2 linked regions of the Rhinolophus ferrumequinum genome follow. The protein of the gene in region 1 interacts with the protein of each later gene in a pairwise test. Links are inferred from orthologs where the notes say so. Each region holds a gene or a part of one and is shown in the gene's direction. Other genes may lie near its edges.

Evidence for each region.
Region 2: the proteins of LRP6 (region 1) and GSK3A interact in binary tests that used the Homo sapiens proteins (3 or more experiments, as listed by UniProt). The link is inferred for Rhinolophus ferrumequinum from reciprocal best matches to the Homo sapiens genes LRP6 and GSK3A.

Annotation. Positions count from the first base shown.
Region 1 is NC_046293.1:27,146,379-27,153,907, reverse strand, and holds the start of LRP6 (low-density lipoprotein receptor-related protein 6), read left to right. Parts: upstream 1-4,285; 5' UTR 4,286-4,362; coding exon 4,363-4,417; intron 4,418-7,529. UniProt on the Homo sapiens protein: Component of the Wnt-Fzd-LRP5-LRP6 complex that triggers beta-catenin signaling through inducing aggregation of receptor-ligand complexes into ribosome-sized signalosomes.
Region 2 is NC_046298.1:40,146,782-40,154,659, reverse strand, and holds the start of GSK3A (glycogen synthase kinase-3 alpha), read left to right. Parts: upstream 1-4,822; 5' UTR 4,823-5,419; coding exon 5,420-5,702; intron 5,703-7,387; coding exon 7,388-7,575; intron 7,576-7,878. Other genes in the region: ETS domain-containing transcription factor ERF, read left to right, coding at 1-482. UniProt on the Homo sapiens protein: Constitutively active protein kinase that acts as a negative regulator in the hormonal control of glucose homeostasis, Wnt signaling and regulation of transcription factors and microtubules, by phosphorylating and inactivating glycogen synthase (GYS1 or GYS2), CTNNB1/beta-catenin, APC and AXIN1.

The DNA of each region.
Region 1 (7,529 bases):
TTGTTTTTGAAGATAAAGTCCAAGATGTGGGATTCTTTTTTAAAAGGTGTGCGTATTTTATTCATTGAACGTAGATTGCTTTCTAAAAATGTTGGTATAATGTATGGTCCCATCAATGACCTTTTGGGAAGTCATAACTCACAGTGGCTTCTTTTCAGTGCTTCTCTGAGCTGACTTCTCCACACTACACATTACTGACCACAACTCCTCATGGCAGCACTTTCAGCCAGTTTTCCACCTGCACCTTTTTGGTCTCTTTCCCTAGCTTCTCTTCTTTTGTTGCTCCTAGATACTTGAATACCACACGGTTCTGTCTTGGCTCACTTTTCTGGTCACACTAAATGCTCTATTCTTTCCTTAAGTTTATGGTTTCAACCATAATCTCCGTCTTGCCTTAGTCCATCAATGAGGTGGCCCAGAGGTGACTTCACCTGAATTAGAATAGGGTTTCCCTTTCTGAAGACACCTTACTGTCATTGTCCAGAAAACTGTGGTAATAACTATTCAGTCACTATTCAATAGTCTACAATATATCCCCTGGATTGTGTGTCATATGACCTCCATAATCATTATGGATAGCTGTGTTTTCCATTCCTCTCCCGGGTCCAAAGTTCTGTATCAAACCTGTCTACTGAGTATCTCCAGCTGGAGGTTTTACAGACACGGCCGATAGAAAAGACCCATTGTTTAGCTTATCGTCACCCCCTCTTGAAATAACTCTTTATGCATTTCTTTTCTTCGTAAATGAGACTCCCATTCACTGGGGTGCCTATCTTAGAAACTTAGAAATTCATCATAGATCTCTCTCTCTCAATTCACATCTGATAGGTTACCAAATCCTGCTGTTTTGATTTCATATTCCTGAAATCCATTATCTCTTTTCAGTTCCCAGTGCTGCTGGCCTGACCATCCTTTTCATAGACTTATCTCTCCCTCCTATTATCCACACTGCTGCCAATTTATTTAACTTGCAAATCAATGAGAAAAATACTTTACTGTCTGTAATTGTCAAGAGGCTAAAATCTAAACTTCTTAGCATGACTTAATAAAGCTCTTTATTATCCAATACCTACTTAACGGTCTTGACTCATTTCCTGACATTCTCTAAAAGCAACCTATACTTCAGCTATATGTGTCTACTTTCAAATCCCTAACATGCCAAGAGCTGTCTAGTAATTCAGTGTCTTTGCACCTGCTATCCTTCTGCTTAGAATTCCTTGTCAGTCTTGTTGGCCTGACAACCTCCGACTTGTATTTCAAGGCGCAGCTCTAGGGTTATTTTCTCTTCTTTAAATTCTTTAGGCAGAAGTAAGCGCTTCGGTACTTGAGTTCCTTGTTAATATGGTACAGTTCTGCAGCATAGCAATTTAAACATTTTAATTATTTGTGTTATTAATTAGTATTTCCAAACTAGGTTGTAAGCTCCTTGAGGGTAGGGACTATGATTAATCTTATCTTTGCACAACCAGCACTTAATACAATGACTGACATTGAATATTTAACAGACACTTGAATGAATGTGAAAACGAATTAGTTAAATAGTGAGAATACTGTCCAGGCTAGGGTTTAAGGTTAAGCTAGAGATTTTCACTTAGGTAACTTAAAAGAATTTGGAAAAAAAATATAATAAAGGAAATTTAAGAACAGAAAAGTAAATCTCATATTATTTCACCATCCTAATGTCTATCTTAGTGCATTTACTTTCTTTGCTCAGACACGTGAGATATATATATATATATATGCATATATATATATAAAACACGTGTTTATGTATATATTTATATTTCATACAGCTGTAATTAAAACGTACATGTACTTTTACATGCTTTTAAGTTTAGCTAACTACAAACATTTTCCAACACTGTTGCACAGTCTTCCAAATTATTATTTTTTTCAGCATTGTATAATAATATCTCATTTCCTACTTAGATTGAAAGCCTAAAGAGACTTAGGTTGTCCTCAGTTTTCTGTTATAAATAGGAACAAATCCTAGTTTTGTGGGACTTGAAATTGATACAATTTTGAGGGGTGTTTAAAGAAAAAGGATGCAAAATCATCTGACTTTTGCAAATAGGCCCATGTGACCACACTGTTAGGGCCCCTCCCTGGGCTCTGGAAGGGGCTTGGGAAAGTGAGCGGTCATGAAGTTCAAGTTTCACTAGCTTCATGGTTATCTACCTCCAATTATAAATAATTCTGCAATAAACATTTTGAGCATGTAATTTTTGTCTCCCATTATTTCCCAATATTTCAAGTTACTATGACACCATTCACCTTGAAGGAGTTGAGAAAGAAAAGAAATGGTCATTTCTTGAACACCTGTTATATATTGAGCAGTTTATATATATTATTTAATTTAATCCTTCTGACAAGCCTGAAGGAGGCATTATATCCACTTTACAGAGGAGAAAACTGAGGTGCAGTGCATTTAAATATCGTGCCTCAAGTCACACATCTAGTAACTAGTAGGGTTTGGGTCCTCACCCGAGTCTCATTCCAAACTTCATGCTTTTATCACTAACATTGTTTCTCCACAGACTCAGTAGCTTCACAATAATTCCCTAGGCTATTGCTGAAAAACGGGGTTCTCAGTTATGCGTTTTGAGGTCAGAATACAAAACTTGCACAGCACTTACATGGTACTTGGTAGAAGGTAATTGAAATCAATAGTGGGTAGACTTTCTCAGATGAATTTATGAGAAAATGATTTGGCTGTTTCTGCCTTTGTATCTGCTGACAGACACGCATTGCCCTGGTTCAGCCTGCATTTCTTAGAAGGAGGAGAGTGAAGTAAGAAGTCCTGGCTTAAGTTTGGGTCCTGCCATTCAGTATTTGAGTCTTGGGTAAGTCACTGAACTTCTCAGATTCTTCTTTTCCTCCTCTGTGCAATCGAGGGTAAGTAACAAAACCTGTCTTACCCCAGGGTAGTTTTGAGTGTCAAATTTGATGTGTGTGCAAGCACTCGGTGAACTCCAATGTCACTCGGTACTAGTAACATTTCTGGAGTAGCTCCACTTGTTTCCCATGTGCCCCCAGGTAAAGGTGTGTAACAGCTGGACAGAACGGACCAGATAGCTCCATTATGGTTAACTCTGGGAGTGTCCTTTCAGCCACTTAATATCCGAGAGCGTCTGGGTCGCTCCGCTTCAATGCCCAGTGCAGCGGGAGTAGCAGAGGCTGTGCAAAATGAGTCAGATTCTGGGGAATCCTTTCCTCCTCAAGCCGAGAACTGATCATCAAAACATGCCGAACATTCATTATTAAAAGGCAACTTGTAAAATCCTCAGTCCTCTCCAATTGTCCCTCTGCTCTGTCTTAGGTGCTGACGCATTTATCTTGAAATTTTATCTGCCACTTCAGAAATCTTTAGTTCGTGTAGGACTTAATTCTGGGGGGGAGTCTGTAGTTCGGGGAAGCCAGGAGAGAAATAAAAAACCTGAGTTTGAGTTGGGGTTTGAGCATCCTTCACCAGATCCACGTTTGAAGCTGGGGTTCAGGGGCACGGGTTTTTCTTTTCCTTAAAAAATTGCCTAAACCAATTTCCAACCCTGAAGATGGAGCTGCTCATCCCGTGTCGGGATCCACGTGGCTCCCCGAGCGTGGATCTGCGGCTCAGGCGCCCCCGGCCTGCCGCCCCCCGGAACCCCGGCCCAGGTGCTGCCGGCGGGGACCCGCAGGTCCACCTGGCTCCGCCGGCGGCCGCCGCACAAAGAGCGGAGCAGGCGGCTGCCCGGCGGAGCAGCAGAAAGTAGTCCCGACCACGCCGGCTCCAATGTTATTCGACGTCGCTTCACGCCCTCCACGGGGAGGGCTCAGCGGCCGGCCGGGCAAAGAATCCCATTGGAATGCGCCGCGGCGCGGTCTATCCCCTCCAAGTCCCCTCTGCTCGCCCCGCAGATCTCCGGGAGTCTCCAAGCAGAGGCAGGGCGTGCACCCCCACTTTCTTTCATACCTGCCAGAGAGGGGGTGCCCAGGGAGGGGGCTCGGCCGCGCGCAGGGACACCTTGGCCGCGCGCAGGGACACCTTGGCCGCGCATCCCGGCGACGGGCGGCTCGTATCCTTGCGCCGCTGCGTGAGAGGAAGAGGCTGAATGAGGAACTGCGCGGGGGAAGCGGGGCGCCGGGGGAGGAGGCGTCGGGATGGAAGCAGACGCTGGCGTCGCGCGAACCCTGGCCAGAGCGGCGCGGTAGAGAGGGCGGCGGCGGCGCGCGCGGAGCCCTGACGTGCCCCTTTCTTCTCTCTCTGGCAAGCTGGGAAGCATGAGCGTGCAGACCTGCCGCTGCGGCGGCCGCCCCGGCTCCTCGCCTCCCCCTCTTCTGGTCGCCCCTCGCCGGTGAGAGAAGAGAACGCAAGAAGGGAAGATGGGGGCCGTCCTGAGGAGCCTCCTGGCCTGCAGTTTCTGTGTGCTCCTGAGAGGTGGGAAGGGCGGGGGGGTGGACACGGGAAAGTTGGTGGGATTTGGGGGGGGAGGTGGCCTTGTTTTGTGTGTGTCTGGGGGGAGGGGAGGGAGGGAGGAAAAGGAGAAGAGGAGCGGGGAGAGGCCTGGTGGTGGGGAAGGAGAGGGAAAGGGGCCCGGGAAAAGGGGCTGTGCGCTCTGTCTGGCCACAATGCAGACCCCTGCCTCGGTGTAAGACCTTCTCGGGACGAATCAGAGCCTCAGCCCGGGCTGCTGGTCTAGGTGAACCCCTGGAGTCCCATGCTGTCGGAATGACTGAGGGTCTGTGTGTCTCTTTCTGCCTGCAGTCATCCGGGAGCAGGGTCTTTGTATGTATTTTGGCGTTTAGAATGTTGGAGCCCAAGATGCTTTAACGTTGGTCTTCTTCCTCGAAGCCCCCACCTCTTCTGTGTCTCTCATGTGCACTTTTAGGGTCCTCGTACTATTTTTCCAGGTCTTGTTACAACTAATAATTGGCTTCCGTTCGGGATATAATGATTCTGGGTGAGAGCACAGTTGGAGAGTGACTCCGAGGTTATAGGTCGAGCGATTCAGCGTTGGGAATCTTCGGAGCTTCAGCCCATAATAAAATGGAAGCGTTGCCCTTGCCACCCCTGGTGCTCAGGACTTGCCCCTATTTTCGGAGCATGCGAGTGTACAGTTGGCACTAACTGGGAAAGTCATCCTTGTGTGAAAAGGAGCCTGTCCTGGGACCTAAGTTATCATTTGCTGCGCTCCCCTGGGGACTGCTTGGCACTTTGGTAAATAACATAGGCTATTCTATGTAATTTGCTCTGAGAATCGCATACATTCGATGGTCCTGTGGTTTTTTGAATTGGCATGCGAAGCTGTCACATATGCTGTGACTTTGATTTTGTGACAGTTCACTAAGGTTTAGACTGGCCGGCAAGATATCAACAGCTCTTCTCAAACTTACCAGTGGTGAAGTGGTGATCAGTCTGATGCTATTGAGCCTTTACCAGGAGAGGAATTTAAATCCTGATTGATGCAGAGGCTTGTAGCTTTGGTTTTGTTAAAAGTCTCACTTGCCGTTCCCGGTCAGTTCTTTTCAGGTATGGGACCTCTTGAATCTATGGAGCTTTTTAGCTATTGATTTAATAGGCTAAACTTTTGTTAAGCCTCCAGAACGTACTGAAGTTTACAGAACATGATAGTAACTAACGATCTTGCGATATGAATCAGCCAGGTGTGCCATTTCTGTACGTGTAGGTTTAGTTTGGGTGAGCATAAGTGACCTTTTTCTTTTTTGAGGAAGAATTGTTTTTCTTTCCTCTTCTGCAGGATTATGATGTTTGTATGTTTTATCTACTTCTACTTAATTAGGACTCACTAAGCGTATTCCAAACTGTTTCCACATGTAACCCCCAGAAAGATAATGCTCATTTAATTTTCTTGGCAGAGGATTTAATGTGGTGTTTACGCACTTGAGAGGTTTAATAAGTATATGTTTATTGTAGTATACTCCCTGTTGAAAGGGGGTTTTGCCATAGCTGTGAGAAACAATTATATTTGACATAGAAGATGTATATATTTGAAGACAGAAAATAAGAGTTAACAAATGTGGGAGTCAGCTGATTGGTTAAAGTCTTGGGGAAATCTAAATCCATAACCCGGGATGCTCCTGGTTGCCCAGTTGTATTTCTTGCAGGGGAAGGGTGTGATGTAAATGACACTTGTTTATTTTAACACCAAGTTTGAGCCTAGAGTTGGGTTTGTTCATTACTGGAATTAAGAGAAGTTGAACTTGAAGTAGTGTTTTGAAGTATGGTAGTATTGTAACAAGACCTAAGCATTAGTAGTTTAAATGGCCTCATACCTGCTAGCAAACAAAGTTTCCAAAAGTGAAGGTTTCATTTTAAATGTAACATAATAATGACATAAGGTGGTCTTTGAATGTAACAGTACATAACTGTGAGTACATATCATTTGAACTAAAACTGTCTTTTGATTGTGAAACATTGTATTCATAATTAACTTCTTTTTATTCTTTGATAATGTCATCCTCTGTTATAATAGTGATACGAGTTCACCTTGGGCTCTAAGGAAAAAAATGTGATTAATTTGTTGTATTAAGGTCATTTTTCTTTACTGAAGAGTTGGAGCTTTAACTGGGAAGATGGGATGATGAGAGAGTTTGGGAAACCTTTTGCCCTGTAGCCCTGTTAAGAGCTGAAAGTTGGGGAATAATGCCGTCATCAGCTAGGCTGCATCTCCGTCCCTATTATCAGAGGACAGGGTGGAATGGAAAGAATGGGAGATTTTAACCCTAAAATCTTGGGTTTCAAGTCCATGCTTCACTACTTAATAACTATGTTTCTGGTCCAGGCAATTTCTCCGGGCCTCAGTTTCTTTACCTGTAAAATGTGGGTAATAATACCACTCTAATTTTCAGGTTTACTGGGCATATTAAATGAAGTAATGACTATGAAGTGACCTACAAATATTAATTTTTGTTATAGTTTTTGGTTATTTGTGGACATGGCCTCAAATGCTGGAGATTTGAGATTTATTAATAATTTGTGTAAGATTCATGAATTCTTAAAGGTAGGTGAGATCTTGGTCATTTTGGTCTGACCGCTTCATTTGCAAGTGGGGAAACTCAGATTCAGAGAGATTATAACTTGATCAGTATCTAATGGTAAAGCAGGGATTTATTGTTCATGCTTTTAGCAAATATGTTGGAATACCTACTATATTTCAGGCTCATGGTCGCTGCTCTAACGGACCTCACAATCTAGGTTGTTATTTTTACCATTCTCTTAGTTCCGTCCAGGTACTGATTAGAAAAGATTGTATCTCCGATTTTCTAGAGGACATATTTTATTAGAATATATGCTTTAGAGTACCATTAGTGTGTATAATCTGTCAATACTATGTCCCAGCTTACTTTGAGGAGGCTTTTGTTGTTTTATAAAAATTCTTTGCTGTTTACCTTTTTTTGTGTTACTTGTTTTGGTGGGGGGGTGGTAAATACTGTCAGGACAAGCCACTAATGTTTCCTATCTTTTTATAGAAGTGACCCGTGGAAAAGTGTTTTTTGTTTTGTTTTGGTTTTTTTAATGTTAGGTGTGA
Region 2 (7,878 bases), on another chromosome or scaffold:
AGAAGGCTCCGGCGGGTGCTGACAAGAGCAGTGCCATTGGCAGCGGTGGCAGCGCAGGCGGGCTGGCCGAGGGGGCAGGGGCACTGGTCCCACCACCGCCGCCTCAGATCAAGGTGGAGCCTATCTCAGAAGGCGAGTCAGAGGAGGTGGAGGTGACTGACATCAGCGATGAGGATGAGGAAGATGGGGAGGTGTTCAAGACGCCTCGTGCCCCTCCTGCGCCCCCCAAACCCGAGCCCGGCGAGGCACCTGGGGCCGCGCAGTGCATGCCCCTCAAGCTTCGCTTTAAACGGCGCTGGAGTGAAGACTGTCGCTTGGAGGGGGGTGGGGGCCCTGCTGGGGGCCTGGAGGATGAGGGTGAGGACAAAAAGGTGCGTGGGGAGGGGCCTGGGGAGGCCGGGGGACCCCTCACCCCGAGGCGGGTGAGCTCTGACCTCCAGCACGCCACAGCCCAGCTCTCTCTGGAGCATCGAGATTCCTGAGGGTTGTGGGCAGGGGACCCTGTTGCCCCACCCCCTGTGCTTCTTTTGCTGCCTTAAGTCCCCCGTGCCCTGGAGGTGAGGGCAGCTCTAGTCTCTTCCCTGCCTCCTCTTCCCTCCCCACGTTTTGTATAAAACTTAACTTTTTTTTTTTTAATGGTGAAGGGTGGGTGGGTGCCCAGGGCTGGGGGCTGTCCCTGTCTCTGTGGGTTTCTAAGCTCTGGGCAAAGTGGTGGTGGGGGGGCGGGAGGGGGTTGTGAAGGGGGCCACCTCCACTCTGGGGAATTTATATTTGAACTGAGGCTTTGGCCTCGAAGCCCAGGAACTTTTTTATTACAATCGCTTAGGAAGTAAAGCCTTGTCTCCCTCCCTATTCTCTGCCTCCTGTACCTCTCCCTGTCCACCTCCAGCCATCCTCAGCCCCAATCCAGCCTTCCCTGCCCCTCCAGGGGCCATGAGTGCCTGGGTTTCTCACCCCACAGGGTTGCAACAGGGGAGGGAGGGACATTTTATGATGAACCAAAAATTCTGTGTTGAGGGGTGGGGGGTAGAGGAGGGTGAGGGGTGCCACCCATAGGCCACAAATCTCTACAAGTGCCTGCTATCCCTCTCCTACTCCCCACCCCAGAACCGGTCCAACCCCTTTACCCCCAGCTGCTCCTAGGACCAGCCCGTAGGTAGGCAGGGGTGGGAAGGGGGTACCCTGAATCCAAACTGGAAGACCCTCTGCCTCTTGGCTGGGGCCCCTGGGGTGGGGTCTGTGGTTAAGCCTTATTCTGTACTGGGGACTGAGGGTGGGGGGCGGAGGGAAGTTGGGGGCTGCTGGAGAATGTATTCAAAACAATAAAACTTTGGACCTTTGGGTGGAATGATCTGTCTCATCAAGGGACCATAGCCTGTGTTGGATTCTGAAGGACTGGGGCCTGGACTGACTCCCCAGTGAATCTATGGCCAGAGGGCCTAACCCCATCTGAATGTGTGGTTTCAGGGAAGTGACCTCCTGAAGGGGGGGTGGGGGTGGGAGGTACATACCTCCAGGGCTCAATGATTTAGGTCTCAGGCATACTCCAGTCATCATCTGATTGCTTCCCTATCCCATGGGGCGACTTGTCCTTGGAAGCATTTAGACTCCACCTATTGCCTGAAATGACTTTTCCCTCTGGCTCTGAATTCCTCCCCATGTCCCCAGGCTCTGGAGAAGGCTTGGAGCTCCTTTTGCATTACCTCTAGTGTCCTCTCACACATCACTCTCCTTAGAGCACTTAGTCTGGGAGTCCTTTGGGGACAGGCCTGCAGTCTCTTGGAATGTACACCTTGCAAGGGACCTTGGTGATCTTCCTGTGGAACCATGGGAACATCCTCCACCAGCAAGTTGAGATGGGGACTAGCTTAATCAAAGTCGCTGTTGATTGACCTACTGTATACCAAGTACCTAGTTAGGAGCTGCAGTTATTTATCTCCAACATCCAGCAGGGCAAGTGACTCAGTTAATGTCCAAGGTCCTAAGCCCAACCAGGACTAAATGAAGTCTGTGTTCTTTCGACTCCTGAGTTTTCCTCCTAAAGCTAGGATGGTTGGATCTAGACCAGGGTCTCAAAATCATAGGATCTGAGAAGTGAGCTCATCAAGCTAGAAGCTCAGGTTGGGGAGCTCGAATCAGGGATCAACGAGTCAGGAGGAATCCAGGCTTGGAAGTGCTGTTCCAGACAGCTCAGCCACTACCGTGCAGGTGAGGTGCCTGAGGCCCAGAGGCGGGAAGGAGTTTCCCTGAGGCCACACAGCTGCTAAGAGAGTGGGAATTGAGGGCTCAGGGCCTGTTGGACTGGCTTCACTGTGAAACCCCACCCTGTGCGACTCGGGGAAGGAACTGGTAGCTCCTCCCCACTCGCTTCATCCTCATTTCATGCCAGCCAAGGATGGCTGGTCCCAGATTATGTTGGCAGTGAAGAGAGGATCCAGGGCTGGGGTATTAGCAGGAAACCGAGGCTCCCATGGCAGCCTGCGGGCAACTGCTCCCTCTCCTGGGTGATGTAAGTCACTCCCTGGGGTGGGGGCCACTGGGCTATTTCTGGAAGTTGGGATGAGGCATGTCTCCTGGCAACATAGATGCAGCTGAATTGGTGGTGGTGGTGTGATGGAGAAGGGGATGTCATCACGGGGGAGGGGGGAGGACGCTGACTAGTAGTCTCATCTTCTGATTTCAGTACCTTCGAAGCACCTCTAACCAGGTCTAACATGGATTCAAAAGTGCTCAGCTCTAGAACTGCTCAGGTCAGACCAGGTCCAGTCAGACTGGTTGCCCCCAATTCTGGCTGAGCGGGATGTTAGAGGTGGCATCGGGTCTTGAAACCTCCAGCAGCTCCTCTAACCTTTAACGATCCACCTAAATCTGTTCGCAGTTTCTGCAAGACCACACCCTTGCTCCTTACCGCATCCTCCAGGATCTCTGATTCCAAGCAGAAATCCCTTTATAGATCCACGACACTTCATCAATTAATTCACCCCATCAGAGGTCCTTTTATCTATAACACCCAGCACTCACACTGACCCCCAAAGCTCCTTCCTGATGCTTCTCAACCATCCCTTACCCCTTCAGGCACCTCAGAGATCCCCTCAGTCACCAGTAGTTTCTCAGTCTCCCAGAGACCGTTTAAAAACACCCCAAATCCCCTCTGACTTCTCCCCTGGTCCCCAGTAAGAGGCCTTCACTTCTCCAAGGTACCTCTGAGTACCTCCAGACACCCAAAAGCTCCTCAAAGACACAACCCGCCCTGGCACCCCTCAACAAATGTTCTCAAGCCCTATAAATATCCTGGTAAGACTCCCTCCGACTGTTGCCTTCATACTCCCACTGATCCCAATACCCTTGTGGCGGTTGCCTACGCGCGGCCCACTGCGCATGTCCCACGGGTCCAGGCCGTTAAGTAACCGCCACTATCCTGCCCTTCTCCGCTGCCCTTCTGGGCCTTCTTGGTCCAGTGTAGGGTTGACTTCTCAGGGCTTTGGGTCTTGACTCAGATTTTTGCTTTCCGACTCCGAGCTGCCGTCAGAGGGCAGCAGGTACCGTTTGGCTGGGAAACTACAACTCCCAGAAACACCCGCTCCGTGCTGTGTGTGACGCAACCGCATTCATTGAAGGAATAGAAGTGTGTCCGCGCTTTGCCTCTGGTTAATGTAGTCCGAAAGGCCTTTAACGCTACCGTCTGTCCCGGCCCCGGGAGTGGTGGTGGTGGTGTCTGTGCCCATTGGGAATTGTAGTCAGGACTGGACAAAGTGGACGAGACTTTCTTTAGACTTCTGAAGGGTCAGGACAGTTAGCACCAACACTGGATCGGATTAAAGTGAAGTCCAGAGACTCCATTTCCCATCATTCCATGAGGCAGGAGGGGCTGAGGTGATTTCATTCTTGTTCCAAGTATTTCCGGGACACACACGCAAACGCACACGAACTCTGTTTCCCAGCTCCCTTTGGTGCTACCGTCCTTCCGGGTATTAAATCGATAAATGGGGCGACATAAAGCGTGCACAAAACCTAAGGGTACTCTTAGCACCCAACTTCCTCTTTTGGATCCTCCAGGATCCTATAATTTAGGAAGTGGAAAGACGCAAAAAGCTAAGTGGGGGTTCAGGACAAATTGTATTTTTTAACGCTCGGCTCAGCCTCTGGGTGCAAATCACAAAACTAGAAAAAGCTAGATTGTATCCTAAGACTATTGTTCTGAGAAACTGCAGGTAACTGTTTCCTAAGTCGTTTGCACGGGGGTTTTCCTTCCTGTTTTGTGGAAACTTAGAACTTAGAAGGAGTGTTTGGACTCCACTTTCCAGCAGCTCCTAATCGACTTAGGCTCTTTCTTGGGACCTGGAGATGGGGAAGGAGGCGTTGAAACACTCTTCAGTCTCCATAGGAAACTGCCGACTTTCACCTTTCGCTCAGGCTTTCCCGAAGGTACCCACCAATTGGACTCCACTTCCCCGTCAGCGTAGGCAGTCTAGTCTCAAAGTGTCAGGATCCGGTCTGGACTATTCCCCAGCATGCTTCGGGCTCATAGTAGATCCCTCCCCCTCAGTCAATGGGAGACTGCCTGGAACTCCATTTCCCAGAAGACACAAGGGCTCGCTGTAGCAACTGCTCTGAAGCCGTGGTGCTGACTACATTTCCCGGCAGGAACTGCGGCCTAGCGTGCGAGGGAGGAGGAGCGCTATATCTACTCCATTTCCCAGTCTATCTCCGGAACTGCAGTATCCACTTGGGACTTAGGGAATCACATGGGACTCCATTTCCCGGCGTGCTTTGGGAGTCGCTTTACACCTGCAATGCGGTGAGGGCGTGGCGACGACTCCATTTCCCGGCTTGCCTCACTGTCCGAGATCTGCTGGTCCGAGATCTGCGGGTCCTCCTGCGCCGACTCAATTTCCCAAAGTACACCTGGTGCTGGTGGACATACACAGCTAATAGACTTAGTGACCGACTGGACTCCGTTTCCCGGCGTGCATGAGGCCGCTCACCGAGTGGCTGCGACTACATTTCTGAGGTACACTGAACGGTGAGAGGCTCACCGTTGCCGCATTGGAGGAAGTGTGCGACTCTGACTTGGCCTCCCAAAGTGCTTCTGGGTCCGCCGTGGGCACAGTGGATCGATTTATTGCCCAGGACCCTATTTCTCGACGGGCAGCGCGACCCATCATCTCCACGGTCTATTCTGAAGCCTTTGCGGACTCCACTTCCCGGCGTGCCACGCGGCTCTCTCTGGGCCGAGGGCGGTGACGGAGGCGCGGAGGGCAGGCGGACTGCATCTCCCGGTGTGCCCCGCGGCGGGCGCTGGGCCGGAGCCGGAGCCCGAGCGGCGCGGCCTGGAAGAGGCCGGAGGCCGGGGAAGGCGGCGGCAGCGGCGGCAGCTCGGGCAGCCCGAGCCCCGCGGCCTGGGCCTGCGCTCGGTGCCATGAGCGGCGGCGCGCCTTCAGGGGGTGGCCCTGGGGGCTCGGGCCGGGCGCGGACCAGCTCGTTCGCGGAGCCAGGAGGCGGCGGCGGCGGCGGCGGTGGCGGCCCCGGGGGCTCGGCCTCCGGCCCGGGCGGCAGCGGCGGCGGGAAGGCGTCAGTCGGAGCCATGGGTGGGGGCGTGGGGGCCTCAAGCTCCGGGGGTGGCCCCAGCGGCAGTGGCGGAGGAGGCAGCGGCGGTCCCAGCGCGGGCACCAGCTTCCCGCCGCCGGGAGTGAAGCTGGGCCGTGAGTACTAGGGGCGCCCGTGGTGGGTGGAGATGAGGGTTCCTGAAGCCCCTCAATCGTAGATCAGGTTCTTTTATGTGCCCAGATAGGAGCTCGAGGTCATTGTGCCTCCCAAAACTGGGATCTGAGCTCTACTCCTCCCAAAGAAGGATTTGGGGGGTTACCATCACTTGCAGTTTAAGATTAGAATTAGTTACCGTAGAAAAACCAGGGGTCACAGGTTCCTGTTATTCTAGTATCAAGGTCTTGGGTCCTTGAGGCTTCAAAACAGGGATCTGACGTTGCCATCCATTAGAGAACAGGATCAGGGGTCATCGTCACTTACGAATGAAGCTCAAGGGTTATTGTTCCCGAAGAGAACAAGAATAAAAACACCACCACCCGAAAAGGGGCTCTGAATTTGTTCCCCTTCAAAGGATGGGATTTGGAGTGAATATTGTTTAGAAGCAGGTATTTGGAGTTACTGTGTCCCCAAAGATCAGGGCTAGGGCTTTCCAAACCTGGTACCTAGGTCATCTTCCCTTTTAAAACACAAAGTTTGGTATCATTACCTGTTCATAATATGTAGAATTGTTCCCCCAATGGTAGAAATTAATGGTTGCTGCTTTTTAGAAATAAGGACAGAGTGGGAGTCAGTATCTCCATCAGATCAAGTCACGGTCCCTGTTCTTAAAACATGGCTTGGTGGGTCTCCTTTCACAAAAATGGAATGAGGGCAGGAGAGAGTCACAATTCCCCATAGAATATGGATCTGGTTATACCCCTTTCGTTATTCTGAGGTGTGTCATTGGCTCTGGAAAAAGACCTACGTAGAATCACCTCTGACAAAAGAAGGTGTCAACTGGTCCCTCAACATGGATTTGATTCATCAATGACCCCTTTTCTTTGGGGAACCTTTCCTCACTTTCCCAAAGAAAAGGGGTCCCTGTCCCCAAAGAATGCTACCAAAGTTTGCTGCCATTCAGAAACCAGAACTGGGAATTACAGCTTTTCTTTGAAGGATGGAAGCTGGGCTAGCCCCTTGGTTATAGAGATCAGGTTCACCAGTCTCACAATTTGGTGCTTGTCCATTAGGGTCCACCCTCATGCTGGAAGGGGTCTGGGGCTCTGGGCTGTACAGGTGAGGTCAGGTCAATGCCTTCTCTAATCCCAAAGTATTTGGATTAGGGCTAACTGTCCCCAAAAAGTGAGAATCAGGGCACTAGCACGCTCATGCCAGGAGGAGTCATTCATTCCTGTCACCAAAAACCACTGGTGAAGTTACCAGCTCCACCAGGGAGTGTGTAGAGGTCACTCTGCCCTGAGCTGTGAGGAAGGTTAGTGCTTTTCTAAAGTAGAAGTACCTCAGGATTACCACTTGAGTGGAAGAGGTTAGGTCAAGGCTTTCCCCAGTCAGGAGGGCCCAGAGGGCAGTAAACTTCAGAGTGGATTGGGAGTGTCGGTGTCTCCTTAGACCAAAAGGACCCAGTGGTTTGCTGCTTACTAGAAATGGAGATGAAAGGTCTGCAAGAGGTTTAGATGTCAGTATCCTGGGGGAGGGTACTGGGAGGAGAGGGGAAAGGAAAAAGGGACAGAGAGGCCCCAGAAAGCTACCTGTAGTGATTCCCCTCCCTCCCACAGCCCCAGGAGGGGATGGTGGCAAGAGGGGAAAGGTCAGTGGGTTTTGTGTCCCCTTTGTTCCCCAGGTGACAGCGGCAAAGTGACCACAGTGGTAGCCACTCTAGGCCAAGGCCCGGATCGCTCCCAGGAGGTGGCTTACACAGACATCAAAGTGATTGGCAATGGCTCATTTGGGGTCGTGTACCAGGCACGGCTGGCAGAGACGAGGGAACTGGTAGCCATCAAGAAGGTTCTTCAAGACAAGAGGTTTAAGGTAGCTTGGGGGGCGCGGCACGGGTGAGGACATGGAGGCTTGACTGGGCATGACTGGTGAGAGAGCCCCAGAAGCACTGGCCTTAGGGTTCTACAGAGGATCTTAGCATGGGCCCGAGGAGAAGGGAGAGAAGAGAGTGAGTTGTGTGGAAGATGGGAATATAGATTCCAGCAGAGCCCAGAGCTGACATTTATTGGGCTTTTCCTCTTTGTAAGGGCTTTGCAGGTGAGTTTTTGTTTAATTTACATAAAGGTTCGCTGAAGGTAGATACTATTGTTATTCCCATTTCAAGTAAGCAGAAGC